Linked DNA regions of Drosophila melanogaster. The protein of the gene in region 1 purifies or fractionates together with the protein of each later gene. This does not show direct contact. Each region holds a gene or a part of one and is shown on either strand. Other genes may lie near its edges.

What was found. The genes of interacting proteins can lie anywhere in the genome.
Region 2: the proteins of CG6870 (region 1) and Cpr64Aa purify together in Drosophila melanogaster (affinity purification with mass spectrometry, with the first as the bait; one large-scale study listed by BioGRID). This does not show direct contact.

What each region holds. Positions count from the first base shown.
Region 1 is NT_033779.5:17,589,665-17,596,149, reverse strand, and holds CG6870 (uncharacterized protein), read left to right. Parts: upstream 1-3,850; 5' UTR 3,851-4,038; coding exon 4,039-4,452; 3' UTR 4,453-4,835; downstream 4,836-6,485. Other genes in the region: Sytalpha (synaptotagmin alpha), read right to left, coding at 3,817-3,826; Oli (olig family), read right to left, coding at 5,152-5,278, 5,339-5,910.
Region 2 is NT_037436.4:4,205,798-4,212,865, forward strand, and holds Cpr64Aa (cuticular protein 64Aa), read right to left. Parts: upstream 3,382-7,068; 5' UTR 3,296-3,381; coding exon 3,095-3,295; intron 2,768-3,094; coding exon 2,390-2,767; 3' UTR 2,041-2,389; downstream 1-2,040. Other genes in the region: Cpr64Ab (cuticular protein 64Ab), read right to left, coding at 5,204-5,551, 5,661-5,675; Cpr64Ac (cuticular protein 64Ac), read right to left, coding at 6,448-7,002, 7,065-7,068.

The sequences.
Region 1 (6,485 bases):
CATGGGATAAATATTCATGGCTTTACGGCACCCAGAGATGTCTATAATAAATGCATTTCTTTAGTGCAGCCTGTTGACTGACTGACACGCAATATTCCAGGCAGAGAATATATATGACGAAGGTCGCTCGATTCGGCTACGGAATGGAGGTCGAGAGTCACGGCCACACACGGATGTTTCAAGGACATGGTTGTTGTGTTTGAGTGGCTGCCAGCGTGGCCAACGTGTCCTGGCTTCTCCACCAGGTTAAACAGCCCGCGGCTGAGGAATTCCGAACGAAATTCTCACAGTCTTTTCAAACGGAATAGGGCAAATTGAGAAAAGGATCCCGTACATGTTTGGAGTACGTTTTACAAACGCTGTGAACTAATTACATTAAAATACCAATGCTTTGAAGGAATTTATCACGCCGAATGCACAACGTGTTCCACGTGGCGTATACGCAATGCAATCGTTTCAATCAGCAATCATTTCTGGCGCGGTGAATGCTCGAGAGGTTAGCTCATTTTCCAAAGCAAACAATTTTCTACAAATCTGATTGGGATCAAAGGATGTGGATCATTTTCTGATATCATATTACTTATTATGCCATGCTTTTATGAGCCTATCGTATTTAAGGTTCCGCTAAAATGTAAAATGGAAGGGACTTTAAAAGCAAAGTGCGGCACAAGGAAATTAAAATTTTTCCTTTTACAATAATAAGCGAACGTATTGAAGTAAACTTTTAGGAAATGACTATAGTTTTGTCTGGCAACTCCTGTGAGAATTGGAAAAGATCGAAAACTCCCCTCAATTTATGTTGCATTATTAAACTATTTCACTCAAAGTATTTCTTCAGAACCTTGGACAGAACTTTTTACAAGGCAATTTACAAAGGAAAATACATTCGCTAAACTTTAACAATAAAAGTTTGCCAGCTTACACTTTCTTTTTGGTCTAGAAAATCAATTTACTGGTTCAACAAGTTCGTATTACATTCGCTCGACGAAACCATTGTTCAATGAAGATTTCAGTTGACTTCAAAGCAAGTAAAAACCATTAAATATTGAATGGCTTGTTTTCGAAACGTGACTTAACTATTTTCGCAGATTATAACATCGAATTTGTATGCAAATTGAGTTCACATGGATCAAACAGCTGTGTCAGCACTTACCCCTTAAATATTTGCAAATCGGTGACACAAAGCCGAACAAAAACTGTGCAAACAATTTTCTTATTGAAATTGCTGCATGCAATTTACCGCAACAATATGTTTACGAAATCCCGAATACGAATACGAATACGACAGTTCAACGTGGCGTATGCGCAATTTGCTCTACACAGTGGCATGCATATTGTGCGTGTTGTTAACGAGTTTTCGAAGCAATTTCCGTATTAGCGGGCTTTTATTAATTTTTAACTCAATAATCCCCTGCTCACATTGGTCAATTACATCAAATAAATTTAGCCAAGTAAAGAGATAACTGGAAGCGGTTGAATTTTCGCTTTTTTTTTTATTCACGCGCCTTAACAACTTGGCCAGAGCGTTGCTGAAACTCGACTGTGTTGTTGTTCACCAAAAATTACACGCAGTTACCCGATGTCATGTTCCATCACACTCACACTTTCGCACCCAAAACACAGATGGGCTGATGGAAACACCACACAAATGCAAATGGGAAACTTCGAGTCCCTGACGGAAATGTCCGTTAAAATCCCTAGTTTAAAAAAGTGTCTTTCGAAATAAAATTTATTTGCATACTTAATATACCAATATAAGGAAGTAATAATTAAATATTGGCCACCCGTTTTAGCCAAAAAGTAATCCAACTACCGGAAGGAAAAGCCTTTTTTTATACAAAAGCTTCCCAAAGAGCAACAGCTGGCCAATTTTAGAAAAAAGCCCGCGAAATCCGAATCGGTTAACCTTTCCCAAAAGCTTATGTTTTCAAGAAGCTTTTTAGCATTTCCGTTACATTGGGCGTTGCCACCTATTTCTATATATGAAAAGAAATATATAAATTTGTACGACTCATATAATATTATTTTCAGAATCATTGTGTTTACTTAAGAAACATGCATATAATCCTGACTGTTGATTTATTTATATAATACTTTTTAAATATTTATTGTATTTATTTATAATGAATTGCAATTCTTGTCGTTATCTATTTAAATATTTGTATTGCTTCTTTTCCCTGTTTTGCCAAAATTTGATTATGGTAAAAAAGAAAATATAACTTATAATATTCGGACTTCGTTGAACTTTGATTTATTCTTATTTTAGAAGTGATATAGCTAATAAACTTTAAATACAAATACAAGAAAAGACCAATGAATAGTCACTTTTAATTCCGTCCGTGGACTTGACAATGGTTTTGAAAGTACTTAGTACTTATTCAGCCTTATCTTAACATTTTTGCAAAAAATCGCCAGAACTAAATTATAATCTCTTCCCCTACATATTTCTAGACTACTCTGATAACACTAGGCAATTATTCAAATATTCTTGTCGAAGAAAGATTCGCGTTTTTTTCAAAAATGTACGCAATCACGCACACTTAGAATGATAACCTCTTAGAACTGAAATATATTCTGCCTTTTATTAGCAATGCTATTCGCAGGCTTTTTCTAACCATCAATAGATATTTAATATGGATACACCTAGTTCATGTAAACCTCAAAGTCAAAGTCAAATGGTTTAGCCCATTTAAAGAGCTCGTTCAGTTACGACTTTGAATATTTTTGCGGTTAATTACTTAACGTGATAATGCTGATCTTAACACTGAGATGCTAGCATATTAGATTACCAAATCTTGTTAAAACCACACATCAAACTTGAACTCAATTGAAAATAATAAATGATCAATAACAATTGAATCGTGACGTCTTAAAAGTTATTATTTAGAAATAATTTCTTGTTGTTTTTACTTGAATAATATTTATGTTTTATATTGCGTAGTTTGAACTATTTCCTTAGCTTTGCAATATTTTCTATTTATACAATACAATGTACAGAATTAGTGAATGGCGTTCTGTCTGGAATTTAATAAATGGGAAATTAAATAGTCTGAATAATTTCATCAGATCTTTAGTTTCGTAATAATTATTGATTAAACGTACTCACTCCATGTAAAATTAAAATCATTCCCATGGTTCAAATAGTTCAAAAGCGTGGCATAATTTCCGAATCCATTCCAATTTCAAGTTCAAAGTTGTAGTGAGCGATAATATTGAAGTCATTATCTCTGTTCCCATTAGAATTTAGAACAAACGTGGCTTGACACAAATCGTGATTTTTGGCAAACTTAAAACGCATTTAAGTATTAAAAGTAAATAACTCCAGGCTATTAACCCAAAATTTATTTTGATTGCCTTAATGACTGGCGATCAAACGGTTCGAGTAGACGTAATTGATTCGCCCGATGCACGTTTGACTTGTGCCAATAAATCAATTGTAATGCTGATAGGCGCGTTAAATGTCTCCCTTTTAATAATTGCTGGCCCATTAAATTTATAAGGTAGCAAGTAATTAGCTCACTGAGCAATCCGATTAACAGAGAAATATATAATTTATGCTCGTCTTTACGAGCATATTCGGAAATTGACTCATATGAGTACGAGTGACCACAAAACATTATTGCAAAATCTCGCAATCTCAGTGCAATGCCTAGCCCTCCCATGAACATATGTAGATGCAAACCAGTTCGGTTGAACATACATATATGTATATATATATATATAATTATATATTATATAGAAACCGATCTATAAGAGCTTCGCTTCTCTGGACACGAAGTCTTATCACCATGCTGTCGGCTCCATCGATCGACTCACGTGTTGTCATTTATAAAACGATTACAATCCAAGGCATGAATGACACTCCAGTACCGGTGGCTGCACACGAAAGACACTCAAGACCCCAAGTAAAACTGGAACTGAAGCCGACCAAGCAGAACTCAACTTGAATCGATTGCCGGCTGTCTGAAGTGATCGGGCGGCATTACAAATCGTTGTATCAAATATTAGTAAAAGTGAAAGTAATTGCATACTTACAACATGTCATCCGCGTTGACGAACCTCTTGCAATCGCTGAGAATTGTGCCCTTGGGACATGGAAAGTCCAGTAATCAGGTGGTCGTTGTACCAAGCAAAAAGGAACGTTTAAAACTGGAAGATCTGCCGGAGATCGCATTGGAGGAGGTGGCCCAGCACGACAGCTTCGACGATTGCTGGGTGGTAATCTACGATAGGGTCTACGATGTGACACACTTTCTAAGGGATCATCCCGGCGGCGACGACGTCATTATGGATCACGCAGGGCGAGATGCCACCATCGCCTTCCATGGCACAGGACACTCGGGGGATGCCATCGAAATGATGAAGGATTTCTTGATCGGTCAACTGCCCACCAAGCAGCACATTTTTCGCACTGGCAAAAACAAGGTTTTGTCCCTGGGCATACCGGAATAATATAATGCCAGCCGATTTTGCACCGATCGCCTTCGCCGCCGTCCTCCATGTCGTATATGTCTATATATATATATATTTTTAGAGTATTCATCGACTAGTTTTCTAGTTGTAATCCGCTTATTTCGAATTCCGCTAAACGGCTTTTGCTTAATCATCAAAAACCATACAGACAACTATGTATGTATATTTATATGTTAAATATTTTTGCCAAGACTTGAAACGGATCTAAGATTATATTATTTTAAATTTGATTGTGCTCTTTGATGTTTGTTATCTGATGACTATAAATGGTTGGTTGGGTTGGGCGTGTTTGAGTATTTGAAACTCTTATTTTGTTTGTTTGTTTGATGATTCTGAAAAATGACAGGCTTCTATCAGTGCTGATGGGTAAACCTAAATGACCAAACCCTTTTCCAACGACATACTTTCTACTTCAATAATACTTTATTCGGTAATATTCATCTTACACATATTGGTTGACATTGGGTAAATGCATAAATAAGAAATGCTTATGACAAAAATAAATATCACTGAACAGATTTTCACTTGGCTGCTCTGATAAGAGGCTCCTTATCAACCTCCTTTCGTCTGACTAGTACACAAGTATTTGGCATTTGCTTTCCAATTGACTTAAAAGTATTGCTCATTAATGGATTGCTTATCAGTTGAACCATAGTTTATGGTGGCCCCCACTCCTATTTAACTGCTGCTAGTCGGTGGTTCGTTGTGAGGTCCTTGAAGAAGAGCCTGCAACTTGGCAGCCGCCGGAAATGCACCCAAATCCAGTGGCGCTGCTCCCGTGGTGCTTTGTATATAGGCCAAAAGTCTAAAAGTAAAAGCATATATGTTAATAATTCCTATTGAGCGTGGTAATGAACTACGTTACCTTCTCAACTCCTCGAGAGCATTTTGCTGCATCAGAATGTAGTTCTTAGCCAGCAGCAAGGTGGCTATTTTCGACAGCTTTCGCACAGAAGGCGAATGGGCATAGGGAATCACACTTCTCAGCTCATCAAGGGCATCATTCAAATCGTGCATCCTTCGTCGTTCCCGGGCATTTATGTTCAGCCTTACCGTCTTTCCCTGGCGGTTTTTCTGCTTGCCACTGTTGGAGCCACTTCCGCTGGCGCCACCACTGGACACGGCCACCGTGGTGGTGCCACCACTGATGGCAATGGCTGCGATGGCGGCGGCCGTGGGACTCAATGGCTTCTCCGGAGCACTGGGCCCTGGTTTGTTCTCATCCGTCGGTGGCTGCTGGGACATGCCCATTCCCTGGGCATAGAAACCACCCAGACCAACCGATCCAAGTGGCGTCCGACGGCCGGGGACGCTTTGTGGTGGGCTGGCGGTGGGTGCTGGATGCTGGCCACCAAGCATATTGGCTGTAGGAGGTATTGGCATGTGTCCGTGGTTGGGGAGACCGGGAAAACCAAAAGCAAGATTCGAGGGATCCATTTTTTTGTATTTTATGGGACTTTTCCAGCTGTGAAAAAAAGGTTGAAGGGATGTGTAATCTTTTAGGGTAGTCCTTGCAAATCAAAGTTATTATGATGCAGGGTTGCATAAGAAAACTAAAAAATAGGGGTGAATACTCGTATGCTCAGCTGTTCGGTAGCGCCATCTGTCGGAATTTTATGTATTTAATAGGTTAGCAAAGCTTTTTATAGGTGGAGCATCTGTTTTGTGTTTTAACCCGAAATGGTTTAACAAATTGCAAACGTCTGTCAGGTATTCCTTAAATTTAATTAAAGCAAAATAATCGTTAAGCCTTTCGGAAATTCAAAGCCAAAATATTACGCGGTAGTCAGATTAACAAGATGAATATAAGCTTATCAAAGCTTTTCATAGGTGGCGCTGTGTAGTAGTCCAATTTAAGGGATGGTTTAATATGATGTTTCATGGCGAATACAATTTTAGCGGCATTAAATTTATTTAGGAGCGCAGCACTTCAGAAAACAATAAACTTTAAAATTATACGTCAATATATATAAATAATAAATTTGGCAATTATTAACCCAACGAAATGGATT
Region 2 (7,068 bases), on another chromosome or scaffold:
TGCCCGCCTCGCATTTGAGGCGACAATTGTAATCGAGCGTGCCAGCGTGCATGGTTATAATAAATACTCGCATTACATGTGTGCGTGATCACTTAATCACCTGAAGGCACCACTCGAATCACTCGAAGACTCAAACATGGCCAGAAGCCGCCGCGCTCTGTGTTAATTTCACTTCCAAATGCAAACAAATCCCTCTCAATCATTAAAGTCTGCAGCGGAGTCATCATGATCATCAACACACTCGGCTGGTGGTAACCACAATACGTTTAGTAGTTCCACTGACACAATGGGTGAAATGCGTCAAACACAATGCCACAAATCGGTGATAATCCGATGGCTATTTATGGTCGGACTTTTGGCTGAAAATCTCATTAAAATCGTATTCACTAATCTGAGATTAGTGGCGAGATTTTGAGATTATCATATGGCCGGGGTCTAGGACTTAGTCGTTATTAATAAAAACTTTATTATGATGCAAATATTTTATAGTTTTTTATTGAAAATCAATCTACTCAGGTGTCTATATGCTTATATTTTGTTTACTTGCTTACATAAGGCATTTTTAAGTTTCTTAACTACAATTGTCTTTAGAAGTTGTTAAAGAATGTCTAAATTTAAAGTGTTGCTCAACTTAAAGGTGTATAATGCGCAGATATTAATGAAATGTGAAAACTATAGTGCATCATCGTATTTCCGCAATACTTTCTAAAATTTTCCCGATATTTTGGTAGCCCCTCGAGCATTTGGTGCCCATTGTAGCACCGGTTGCTTGGAGCTGCAGCACGCCCATTGTCTTACGCTTTCGCCCATGTCTTTTGAAGCTACCCCCCTCCAGTTTCCCGCCCATGCCGTGTCGCGATTAACATTTCAATTTAATTTTATTAAATCATCAAAAGCGTTTAATGTCGATTGCAACAAAGGCCCGTCGCATTATGCAAGTGCAAATGTAACGAAAAGTCATTATGCGATCTATACATTTTTACATAAATAATAACAAATATGCGCATAATTGAAGGCGCCGCTGCAGATGTGCAGACGATGTGGGGTCCACTCCGCACCATTCCGATGGAGGTCAGTTCTCGGACGGATCAAATTATCCGGATCCAAAGCCAATGATCGAGGCGCGGCCAGTTTCAGTTCCAGTTCCAAGTTCTCCATTGTGCCCGGTGGCCAGTTGCCAATTACTCGATCGGATCGATTGGCAATCGGATCGGCGACGGACTGTTCTCCAATTGAGACCATAAATTTCATTTAGACCACTTTGCATTGACGCTCGAATTACGCAGTTTTCTGTGGTGCGTGGCCCGACCTTGAGCGATTAGCCTATCCACCATTCAGTGGCGCACTGCATCGGTAGCCCGGTGGGTGACCCACGCAGGTGGGGCTTGTTCTGTTCTAAGGTCGAACCACTCACGGGCGGTGAGCGACACAAGTGCACTACATGTCCCAAAATTAACATGGAATTCATGTGTTGCCAGTGTCAAAGTCTAAGCCGCCACTGAATAATGGCACTTTGGTTCTAATAACAGCGATTATCATTCAATGATTTAGAATTAAACGCAATCTTGGCAATTAAAATCGAATTAAATAGCTTTAGTATGCTTTACTTTTTATTAAGCGTAAAAAATTCACAAGCAAGTTATTGCCTATTAGTTGAATAATATTATTCAAATATAACTCTTTAGTTCTTGAAGGAAACCGATTTATTTGAAAATTATATATTCAAAAAATATGTAACATAAGATATTTTCAATTATTTAGCTACAAATATAGTAATTGTCTTTGAATCCTACTAATGTTCAATGGTTGTAATATATTTCGATATAATATTCAAGCAATAGCTTTAAACAGAAATCAGCTTCCGTTTTAAAACTCAAGAATCAGAGTAATTTTCTTCCAAATTTTCATTTCCCGTAAAAGAATACTCCATTAACTTTCCATTTGCATAGCTTCGGTTCGTTTATTGCAATCTCGTTTCTCATTCTGCGAGTTCTACTCGAGTGCACAGGCTCGGATTAAATAAGAATTGAAACGGGGATTGTGAGTTGGGGATTATAGAGTATTTATCGCGGTCAAACAGCCTTAAGATTAAGAAGACAAGAAACATAAATGAAAGGTCTCGAGAATGTGTGAGTGTAGATGAGGGAACATTGGATCCGTAACTCAAGGACTGGGCAATCGGAATCCGCTGTCCGTGAATTCGTATGTACATATTTCGATAAATCGCTTTCATTTCCACTAATACTACAACTACTATCGACTATGATCGGCCCATGAGCTCCGGCTAACTGGAGCCCAGGTGGCAGGAGAAGTTGGTCGCGATGTGTCCATTATTCGGTTGCGGCAAGAGGTCGGCATTATTCGAGTGGTGTATATCCATCCATCTGACTTAGTGGTAGCCCAGGGGCGAGAGGGCGGGCAGGGCCAGCTTGGGCAGAGCAGGTCCATAGGCGGGAGCCAGAGCCGGTCCGTATCCGTGGGCCAGAGCCGGGTAAGCGGGCGCCAGAGCCGGACCATAGGCGGGCACCTTGGCCACCAGAGGAGAGGCATGGAGCAGCGGAGCCGGGGCCAGAACCTTGGCCACCGGAGCCACAGCCTTCACCACAGCTCCCTCGCGGCGCACCACTGCGTTGAATCCGTGCACGGGATCGGCGGTGTACTCCACAATGCGGCGGGTTCCGTCGGCCTCAATCAGTGAATAGGCGCCCTGCACCACATCTCCGCTGCGGGTCTCCTGCTGGCTCTTCACGTCACCAGTGGAGCCATCCTGGTGGGCAGAAGGAAGTTGTTGGATTAGCAAAGGATAGGAATAGGTACTTTATATTTAAAGAAATGCCTTGAAACGAATCCTTTGCATCTTATATCCTAAGGATTTCAAGGAAACTATAAATATTTTATATCCAACATCCAACTTGCTCAACCAAGTGGTCGGATTTAATAGTTCTAAGCTTCCATAAACACTTCATAAAAATGTCTGGCAAAATCAAAATTTGCATACCAGTTGCTCAATAAAGCAATAAAATTCGAATGCAGATTTCTGAATTGGCATTGCTTTTTATGAGGTGACTAATAACTTCTTACGAAGCTGACTCACATGAACATCGTAGCTGAAGGTGTATTGGGGATTGGGATCGTATGGCTCCGGACCCGCCACCTTGGCCACCAGAGGAGCAGCCACCTTGGCCAGCGCCGGGTACGATGGATAGGCGGGCAGTGCCAGTCCGGGACCAGGGACCACAACGGCGGAGGACACCGCCACCAGGGCGCTCAGGACGAGGATCAGTTTCTGTGCCATTCTGGACGGATTGCTTGGTGTTTGCGATGGAGTAGTGGAGAACTGGAGGTCTACTGCTGCTCGACTGACAAATGAACTCGATCTGTGGTTCTGTGGCCGCACGACAATTGCTTTTTATAGGCCTCACATAGACGCGAGCCCAAAAATCCGCCACAGCCTCCGCCGCCGCCTGCCACCAGATATTTATGCAAAAAGCGCAGCAAGACACAAAAAATAATAATAAACAACTAAAAAGTGAGCATGCGTGTGGAGTCTGTAGCGGCCTGTGCCTATGCGAAATGCTCGCATCGATCGCGACAAATATAAAATAATTCATTTTTCGCTGCCCATGGCAATCAGAAGGGGCTGTCCGGAGGTGGAGGAGCTGCCGGTCGAGCTGAAGGCGCTGGAGGTGCTTGGCGGTTCACGCATGTCTGGGAGTCTGGGAGGACTGTGCTGGACCAAAGCAAACTGGTCCCACGCCGGCTGAATCGCCGTCGTTGTTGTCGTGACAAAAAAGTTCAATTCGAAAGCGAATTATTTGGGCCTAAGCCGGGTGGCCGGACGGATCAGGTGTGGTGGACGCATGAGCACCAGTGCCTCCCATGTCTCCATGTCTCGACTTTATGGCCACCAGATTGGGGCGACGCTGCACACGCACCCAGCAGTCGATTGTTGAAAGGTGTGTTTGGGGCACAGCCTTCGAAACTGGCTGGCTGCTCTAAGCCGCGCCCACCCAAAAAATCTACGCCAGACGCATTCAATGCACTGCGAGAAAACGAAAAAGTTCTAACCGCAATGAATGTGATATGTGATATTAAAATCTCTACGAAAAAAGTACTTGGATAACATATACAATACAAAAGGATATCAATTGTAGAATATTCTGTTCAATCCTATAGATTTTCGAATGTCATGCAGTATTTTTTTGAGTGTATAGATTTGGTTCTGTTTCGCTGCTCTGTTGCCATTGGGACAATTTTGGCCATTATCACTAATTTTCAACGCGTACCGCCGCTTGTTAGGCGTTGCTGCAGTTGCAGTTGCAGTAACTGCTGCAGTTGCAGTCGGCGCCGGCAGCAACATCTATGGACATGCTCGGGTTGGGGTTTGCGTAATCCAAAAATTGCATCTCGTGCCGATTTTTTACTTTCAATTAAGCTATTGAATAATTTGAGTGCGTGTTGGGCCAGCGAGAGTGAATGTATTCATTTGGAGTGGAAGAGTTCTTTGGGCGTGGGACAGCTGGAGGGGAGATAACCATCTAAGATTGCGGTCTTATGTAAGTGGAATGGGTCAGCTTTCTTTGGCGAATTGGGCTTTTCCTGGTTACATTTTGTTACATTTAAAATTACAAAACCACTTTTACATGGCATGGAGTCACGAAAATGTTCACCAAGTAATTAGTTCCATTAAGCACATAACCATTTCCATTTCTTGACACCCGCAATTATGATGTAATTGAAAAAGTTAACACACTGCTAAGTTTCAAGTTCAAAACGACGATATTTGCATCATAATTAACACGCAAATTTTGATCTTGAAAAAATGTCCATTGAATATCTTGTTATTTTGCACTACTTTTAAGTGTGTTTTTAATTTAGTTCATTATCATTAACTAGGCAAGTATGCATTTTGGGCCTTGAGCTTGTCTAATCAACTGACTAATTAATAAAAATGTATAGGTGTAAATTTAAACTCGTTTCGGAATTTTAGTAGAGCTTTTGATTAATTTTAGTTAATCAACGCCTTGAGAAGCGAATACTTGCGGATTTTCCTTGAATATGATTGAAGGATTTCATGTATTTCTTTGGCTTATTGAGTTTATTGTTTAATGATTACTGACTTTACAACGGACTAAGGAGCAGACAATAAGTTATGTAAAAGCTAGGTTACAAGCAGTGTTAAAGGCTCTGAAAGATTGTGGAGTTAGCCCAAGATTGGAGCAGCCACTGGAGCCACCAATGGGCGAGCAGCCACCGGAACTGGTCCTCGCTGCACCACCGCATTGAAACCGTTGATGGGATCGGCGGTGTAGAAGACGGTGCGCAGTGAACCATCGGCATCGACCACCGAGTAGGAGCCCTTGACCACATCTCCATCCCGCACCTCCTGCTGGCTCTTGCTGTCCCCGGTAAGGGCATCCTGCACATTATAGGCGAACGCGTACTGCGGATGTGGATCCACCTCCGTGTTGAGGGGCACTCCCACTGGAACAGCAGCTGGGAGCAGGGCGCACTCGATGGCGGCGATCAGAGCGCAGCAGATGAGGGTGATCTGTGGGTTAAGTAAGGTGCATTGATTGATTTATGATCAAGATATACACTTGTGCAGATCCTAGTAGTATGTTCAATCACATTCCTTGACCAGGATTCCCTCAACTCACCTTGATCAGGGCCATGACTAGATTTGCTGGTGGATAGTGGTTTTCCAATGGTGCTTTGTGCTTGACAATGCTGTCGGAACTGTCTTGGATTGCCATTGGATCGGGGTTATAAAGGGCCTCCACATTTCCGCGATAACATGCGCCGTGTGGCAACCGCTGCCAAAAACGATTCCATTTGCTGACGTAATGGCCCGTTTTTGTGCCTGGTCCACCTGCAAAAAGTTTCCCCCATGGACGTGCCATCCAATGGCCCAACTTGCACAATTCTCCCCTCCATTGAAGCCCCACCAATATGAATTGTGATAACCGTAAATATAGTTGGCACTACGTGATCGGAATCTAAGATTGGGAGCTTTAACTCGAAGCTCGGGACCTACCCCAATGTTTAACTGGGTTAAGCAGGGGAATGTGGAGCATTCCTAGAAATATTTCAACTTTTCGAATATCACTTCCAACCGATCAGTTCCATCGAACAACTAATAACAATTCATTCAATCTTTTTTTTTGTACCGAAACTTTTATTCAGTAAATGCAGTTACTAATTCACTAAGTGGCCGATAGCCGTTCCCCAGATCCCCAGAACGGTATCCCTAAACGTAGTCTATGGTGGCGATCCTTCGATCGGAGATTGGGAATGTGGGTCAACAGCGGGGTGGCAACAGCACGCACGTCCTTGTGTTTCGGGTTTTGACTGACAGAAAAGTGGGTAAATGCATTAGAACTATTTAACAACGGTCCTACAACTAGGCCATGGAGTTTGTCATCGCTTGGTCCACCGGTTCATCGCCTAGTGGTATCCACCCAGACTCAGACCAGGCGCCGAAGCGTATCCAATCTTGGTGATGGCGGGAACGGCGGCGACGGCAAGAGCTGGCTTGGCAATGGCCACCGCGGCCACGCCCTTCTTCTCCACGACCGCATTGAATCCGTTGACCTTGTCGGCGGTGTAGGTGACCTTGCGAATAGTGCCATCGGGTTCGGCCAGGGAGTAGCTGCCGTGGACGACTCCGTTGACCAGGGTCTCCTCCTGCTGCTTGGAGTCACCGGTGTGATGATCGGTTACTCCGTACGAGAAGCTGTACTGCGGATTGGGATCGTAGGGCTCGGCAACAGCCACCTTGGCCACAGCGACGGGGGCAGCCAGGACCTTGGGAGCATAGGAGATGGCAGGAGCGGCATACGAGATGGCAGGAGCCGCCAGGAGTTTGGGAGCAGCATAGGAAATGGCAGGAGCAGCAAGCAACTTGGGAGCCGCATAGGTGAGTCCAGGGGCCGAAAGTCCATAGGGATCAATGGGAATGGCCACAACGGCGGACAGGATCAGTCCCAAAACGAACAGAGTCTGGCGAGGAATTCCATGATCAGTTGAGCCAACTAAAAGCTGCACTCCTTTGGCCAACTCACCTGG